Linked DNA regions of Caenorhabditis elegans. The protein of the gene in region 2 purifies or fractionates together with the protein of the main gene of each other region. This does not show direct contact. Each region holds a gene or a part of one and is shown on either strand. Other genes may lie near its edges.

Region 1 (3,755 bases), on a different chromosome or scaffold from region 2:
TCATGATACTGCTGAAATTGGTGAAAGTTCTAAGTTTGTCCAAATTGCCCAAATATTTTAAAACTGCCAAAAAGTTTGAATTTGCGAACATTGAAAAAAATTGTCAGAAATCCTAGAGTTATCGAAATTACCAAAATTGACAACTTTGCCGATATGGATAAATTGTCAAAATTGCTGAAATTCGTGAAATTGCCAAAATTTTTCAAAATTGATGAATATGCCAAAATTGCCAAAATGGCTCTCACTAGCAAGATGCGCATCTGTTTCCCGAGTGAAAATAGTCAAGTTTTGTCCAAAAAAAACATATTTACTAAATATTTGTAAAAAAATCTTGCTTGGCAAATAAAACGAAAATTTAAAAAAAACTAATTAGACACACTTCCATGTGGAGACGTCACAGGTTCCACGATGATAGTCATTCTCCGTTGTGAAAATCGTTGTCCAGGGATCAGACTTTTAGTGAAATCTCTGTATGGTTTGTAAATAAAAAGGGTGCAACAGGTGCATAGAAGTCCGTGATTTGCCATAATTAGCATAGCGTTGTTGTTGTAGGCTGCAAAAGTTTGGAACGTGTTAGCCATGTTTTGGCTTTTTTAAATAATTTGCACTTTCTCACCTTGATTATAGTAATTCATTTTGTCTGCATACATAGTGTAGGCCACAGGAAATGCAATGGCAATCCATGGAATTGAGATCTAAAAAAACACATGCTAGAATTAAATGTTTAAAATTTTAAAAATTTTGTGGTTTTTCAATTTGTCAAAAACATTTTTAAATTTTTAAAATTGAAACAAACCCATTTAAATTTTTTTTGCATTTTTTTGCAGTTTCATTTGGCTATTCCAGTTAATTTTCAGTTATAGTTATACTCACCTGAATAGAAACATTCTTCAGAAACTTTCGCTGAAGATTCTTCGTCGCCGCCGATATTTTGGCACTTGATACTAGTGTGAGGTGATAAACGGTGTGTAACAAAAAGAAAAAAGTTTGGAAAATAACAAATCCAAAACCAATTGTGATTGACCAGAATGGCAAGACCTCTCCGCCCTGCAGCAGTACATAGGTTTTTGGGTCCCAGAATTCGCTCGTCGGACAGGGGATTCTCTGTAAAATTAAGTTGAATTTGAAGACGGGTGTTAAATACACACGACCGAAAAATATAATAAACACTTCAAAAGTTTTTAGTTATTCAAAAATTGACATTTTTGAAAAAAATTGAAAATTCCCGCAGATCTGAACTCCTAGAATGTTTCAATATTATTAATAAGAACGCAATTAATTCAAAAAAAATCTTTTGGTCGACTTCCAAAATTAGGATATGTGAAAACTGAGAGTTTTCACATTTTTGACTTTAAATATAAAATTTTATAAAATTTTTTGAACATTTCTAATATCTCTGAATGGGCATTTTAGTACATTTTACTAACCTCCAAGACCTTCTGTCTCATTTTCAATTGGTCAGTGTCGTCTAGATAAAATGGAAGCATAACAACAAATGTGAATAAATAGTTTAATGCGAAATATGTTAAACGAGTTTTTCTCCGTTTGATTTTGAATCGAATCGTGGAAATTTGACTATGTTGATTTTCATAGAGCATTATAAAACAGACACCCATCACTGAAAAACATGTGGTATTTGAAATTTATATTTAAATTTCCTAAAAGATCCTAAAACTTACTAGTGACGGAAACCTGTCCCCAATACGACTGCCACTTGACACCTACTCCCAAATATCCTAGAAGCCCAAGGGGTACTCCGGAGGCACTCGGAAAAAATATATACGGCCCCGAGTACACTGTGAACATCAAATCGAGATTTGTGCTCCAAGCCAGGGATATTAAAAGTGGGATTTTCATATTTTTCATCCGCTTTGGCGTCTTTGTTATAACTGTGTAAAATGTGAATATGGATAGAGGAACTGTTAAAAGTGCTGTGAAATGATATGCATTGCGCAGATAGTCTGCCGAGCCAAAATAGGAGTAGGTTTCCCGGCAGTTTGAGGTGTTGTTGTCTGGCCATGCCATTGGTTTCCTGGAAGATGTTTAATATAATAGGTTTCGATAGGAATTCCGAAAGTGTTCACAAGCTAAGCGTTACAAGAAAAATTCCTTAAAAAGCCAGAAAACCAGAGCCTAAAAGTTCAAAGCCCCATTTGCATGTAAAATGATCCGCGCGGTAGAGTTGGACGCGCCGAAAAATTCTTGATCGTTGATGTAATACCACCGTAATCCTGCTAATTTGATAATTTGAGGTGCGGAGTTTTCAATTTTTTTTTCTCGGAAATTTATTTTTCTAGGAGGCTCTGACTTGGAGTTTCGATGTAATGCTAAATGCTGTGTTAGTGATTAGGGACATTTAAAAAGGGAAATGTGTTTTGTGACAGATCAAATGATCATCTAGGTTGGCGATGCAAAACAATACGGCAAAAAAGTGTAAAAAACTGATGTCTTGCAGCGGACATTTCCCGGGTTAATTGGAAAGTAAATGGGACCCCACATCTTTCCTGATTTTTTGTCCGGAATAGAGGCTTTACCAGAAAAATCTTTACAATTAGTTCTTCAATTTTTACAGAAACCTTTTTATTTCAACATTTCAGAATCCTAGGTTCAACAGCTGGAAATTTATCAATTGGACAAAAACTTGGTTTTAATTCTATTCAAACAAGGGCCTATTCAAAAAAATTGAGCTTCTTATCCACCTAAAAGTAACGTTTGATCCAAATTATCGGGCTAAGAAAGGACTAAGAGTAGTCGGTGCTGAAGATGAAGTCAAAATTGAAAATCAAAGGTTTGGGGTACATGTCAAAAAAAACAATTGTAGGAATTGCTAGAAGAAACTCAGCGGATTCAGTTCGAATAGTTGTTTGAAAAAAGTAGATCCTCATAATTTGTTCGACTTCTAATTTGACCAGAAATCTACTACACCGCAGTAGAAATCAGGTATCCTGCTGTGTTTTGTCTGTGGCTTCTTAGCTGCCGAAGCGAGAAAAATGCAAACAAACTTCGAAAATGTCATAAATTTATGCTATTTTTGCAAACTTAGTGACGACCTAACAAATCTAGAAAAATTGAACTTTCTACCAAATCTAAGTAGATTTTTTTGGAAACCAATAGATTTAGTTATATTCCAAAAAACTACATACTTATGAAACTCAGAAGTAAAAGCTTTCAAAATGTGACTGAACTCGCCAAAAAGTTCAATAAAATGAGCCGCGCGGTAGTTGTTTCACGCCGATAAACATTTGATCGTTGATGTAATACATTTCCACAAACCTGCTAATTTGATCAATCGGGGTACACAAGTTTCCCAATTTCCTTATTTCTCAGAAATCGTTTCTCCAGAAGGTCGTGTTCAAGTACTTTTCTGACTTGAATTTTTGATTTATGGTTAATTGTAAATGTTTCGTGACCAGGAATCTTTCAGAGAAAAACTTCTTCTTCATCAAATTACATAATTAAATGTTATTTGAATATTTAAACAATCTGATACTTATTTTAAAAGTATGGTAAATTTTTGTAAAGTTTTTGAAAACCTCAGGGGTCCTGAAGCTGTTGTGTGGTCGATTTTTCAATTTTTGAGGTATCAGAATTTAATTATAGGTACGAAGTTTTTTTTTAAGAAAACCACTGTCTGGATAAAAAATTATTTTTCTGCAGTGTTCCTACATTTTTTGTACGAAAGTTTTCTGGCGCCAAAATGAAAGAATTTACATTTTTTAGATTTACCTTCCATTTGGTGTTTGCGAGTCATAAAT
Region 2 (3,755 bases):
ACGTTTAAAATTGAAAAGAAAATAAAATTTATTATCCTATGACAACAATTCAACTTTTGAAGTTACGCAGTCTATAAGGAGACTCGTAAAAGTACATAGAGCCCCGTAAATCCACATCGAGCGCCGTAAATCTACATGGATCCTCGTAAATCTACATGAACCCCCGTGAATCTACATAGAGCCCCGTAAATCTACATTGAGCACCGTAAATCAGCAGGAAAATCCTTGGCGGCATTGCAGAACTTTTCAGAAAAAATTTGGAAGAAAAATCTTTATAAAAAGTGAATTGGGAACAGAAAGTGAATAAAAGTAAATTTCGAAAAAAGATTGAAGCCGATATGAAATGGAAAAAATTTAAATTATTGATTGACGATTTGGTCCTTGGAAACTTGCTTTGGTGGCGTGATTCCGAGCTTTTCGACCTGAAATTTGGAGTTTTTCAAATCAATTTGCAAATGAAAACCAAATTATTACCTTTCTAGCCAAGCTCTGAAGGGTTACTGTAACGGAGAAAAGGTCACGGCCATCGAACAAGTCGACAGATTGGAATGTCTGAAAAAATGAAGATTTGAATTTTGAACATCGCGCCAAAAGTATATGGTAGATTAAACCTCTTCATCCTTGACTCCGAGACTTCTGGCGGCAGTGGAAAATTGATTAATGTTCTCGAGACAGTTGAAATTGGAAATTGGCTTCATGATCTTCTTCACACTTCCTGCTTTGATGGCGTTGACGAGTCTGGAATAGGGTTACTGTAAATAGCTCATTCGTAAAGCTAGGTGCTCCGTAAATCTACATAGTTTTGTAAGCCGTAAACCTACATGAACTTTCGTAAATCTACATGAACTTTTCGTAAACTTTTCGTAAAAACACAAAGTCTGGTAAAGACAGTTTTTTTTAGAGACTTTATTGTTCTAGGTTCTAGGAAAATAGGATCCAAAGTGTTCAAACAAACATAATCACAAAACAGAAAATAAAATCTCAAAATCACATCACCTTAAGCTCACAGAGCATCTCACATTTCCCAAACAGTTCGTGATTATTATTGACATTTTGCATCCCCCAACTCTACGTACAAATAGACAAAAAAAAGACACTCACTTGCACAATCGTTGCCCGTCTTTGAGCTGCTCGCGAAAATTGTCCCGAGATGCTTCACAGTCGAAATCCTCTTTTGTCAAGTCCTGAAAAGAATTTGAAATTATATTGGTGTTTTTCAGGGGGATGAGTAAATCTTGAAGAAACTCTGTAAATCTACAAAAGGCTCCGTAAATCTACAATAAATTGTGAATACTACAAAAGCTCCGTAAAGCTACATGAATCATCGTAAATCTACGCATATATCTGTAAATCTGAAGCGGCAATTCTACACTTAACTTTATAGGCTTACATGGAGTTTTGTAAATCTACCTGATATCTATGTACAATGTTATCACGTATATCTACCTGAACTTGCATAAATCTACACAGAGTCTTGTGAATCTACATTTCACTGACCGTAAGTATACACTTAACTTTACAAATCTATGTGGAGCTTCGTAAATCTACATGTATATATGTAGACATTAAACTTTTGTAATTCCATATAAAGTAAAACTACATCACTCTCTAGTAAATCCACACTGAACTCCGTAAATCTACCCAAATCTTACCCGAATCCATTCCAACAAGTATCCAGCTTCAACATCATTGAACTTGCTTGCCTGTTTGTCCAAAATGGCTCCGGCCATACCGGCTGGTCTTGGTCGATGATAACTTTGTGACATTTTTGCTAGAAAGTCTCAAATTTTAGGCAAAAATTTTCAACAAAAAGTAGAGTATAAAAGTATAAATCAGTAAGAAAAATCAAATTTCGAAGATTTTCGAAACTTAAAACAAAGGAGGTGGCAAAACTGGTTGTGCCTGTCTTGTTGCTCGTCGAGCTCTGACTCTAGGATCTTGCTCACCGAGCTCCTATTTATATTCTTGACTAAACTGTCTGCGTCTCGTCGAATCTGTACACTATTTCCAAAAGGTTAGTGTTGATTTTTGCGCGTGTGGGTGGACGCTAGAGCCGACTCATCCGCGGGAGGTGAGCCCCCGAATTTCAATGGGCGGAGTCAGAGCCCCAAGGAGGGGATGAATTTCGAAACAACAAGAGAGTGAGAGCTCGAGCACAGAACATTCCAGAACGTTTTTTCGTTTTTTTTTTTTGGAAGGGAACGGTTGAAAGTGATTGACACTTGAGAGAGAGATGGGGGATACACAAAAACCTGTATTATTGACCTATTGACTCTTTGCAACTTTTGAGCAACTCAACTGTGTCTGTGTTGAAAGTGAAGTGATAAATTTGAAAAATAAAAGTAAATGTTAGTATTTGCCATCATTCTCTAGATATTAAATCTTTAATTGCTGATAAAGCCCGATTGAAAGTAGGCCTAGAGTTGGACTTGCCAGTAGGCTTAGATTTAAGATTAGGCTCAGGCTTGAGCTTAGGCTTAAGCTTGGGCTTGTCTGGTTTAGGCTGATATTCAAAATTAGGTTTAAGCAAGGGCTTAGGCTTAGGCTCAGGCAAAGGCCCGATCCTAATTTCCACCTCTACTTCTACTGGTTTCTTTGGAGTTTCTGTAGACTTCACAAGAAATTTTATGGCCTGCCTAAGCCTAAGACCAAGCTCAGGCCTAAGTCCAGGCCTAAACCTAAGCCTAAACCTACGCCTAAGCCTACACCTAAACCTAATTTTAGGCCTAAGACTAAACATGAGAAAAAGCCTAAGCCTACGCCTATGCCGATTACGGTAGTTGACAGTCTGTGCATTTTCGCGAAACGTGTGTACTTCTCTCGGACAAGTTTAATATTTCATTGAAATTTTTTCTGTTTTTTTAAGGTACGTTTTGAAAGAAAATCATGCAAAATAAATAAAAATTTAAAAAAAACGAATTCATGAACAAATAAAATCAACAACGATAACAAATGTGTGTGTGTGATAACAAAAGGATTGTAGCATATGTGGAAGGGAAAAAAATTGAAAAAAAGAAAGGCAACAATAAAAAATGATTGAAACTTGTGAAAAAAAAAAACCAAAAACAAAAAGAGAGAGCGATGAATCAGAAAGTGTTCTAGATGCTTCTAGACACCACGTACAGGCGGTGGAAGCAACGATTTTTCGATAAAAAGTGGAGCGATGAACGAGATTGGAGGGAGCTGATGAACTGGTCCGGAGAATAAGCGGGCCGCTTCAGGCCTGGGTTGACGGACGAAAGCTTGATCCGATGTGACTGTGGATGGGCCAGCTGTTGATTTTGAGCCAAGTTGTTGGAATGGAGTCTGTGGAACTGCGATCTCTCCTGATCTTCCACTATTCTTGATGTGTGCAGGACGGTGACATATGATTCCCTGGAAAAGGTTAATTATTAGCCTGAATATCGAAAAGAAAAATGTAAAAATGTATAATGCGTTCGGGGGGAATCGAACCCCCGTCGAATGCTTGGAAGGCATCCATGCTGACCATTACACCACGAACGCGACGAAATACTTGCCTCCAGGAAGCCATTATAAAACTGACAGTTGTCGGGGGTCTCTCTTCCGCAACATCAAGCCCATTAAGACCCCGGTTACCCGCCGCGTTCGTGGTGTAATGGTCAGCATGGATGCCTTCCAAGCATTCGACGGGGGTTCGATTCCCCCCGAACGCAGATTTTTTTGGTTTAAAATACGCCAAAATTGTTTGAAAAAACAGTGGACTTTGGCAAATTTGAATTACCGCGTTTTTGTGT

What was found. The genes of interacting proteins can lie anywhere in the genome.
Region 1: the proteins of cpn-4 (region 2) and srh-56 fractionate together in Caenorhabditis elegans (co-fractionation; one large-scale study listed by BioGRID). This does not show direct contact.

Annotation. Positions count from the first base shown.
Region 1 is NC_003283.11:2,770,130-2,773,884, reverse strand, and holds srh-56 (Serpentine Receptor, class H), read right to left. Parts: upstream 2,026-3,755; coding exon 1,680-2,025; intron 1,619-1,679; coding exon 1,428-1,618; intron 1,105-1,427; coding exon 874-1,104; intron 696-873; coding exon 617-695; intron 554-616; coding exon 366-553; downstream 1-365.
Region 2 is NC_003279.8:10,923,981-10,927,735, forward strand, and holds cpn-4 (Calponin-homology (CH) domain-containing protein), read right to left. Parts: upstream 1,771-3,755; 5' UTR 1,767-1,770; coding exon 1,653-1,766; intron 1,185-1,652; coding exon 1,102-1,184; intron 739-1,101; coding exon 612-738; intron 553-611; coding exon 475-552; intron 423-474; coding exon 360-422; 3' UTR 260-359; downstream 1-259. Other genes in the region: F49D11.10 (WD_REPEATS_REGION domain-containing protein), read right to left, coding at 3,109-3,375.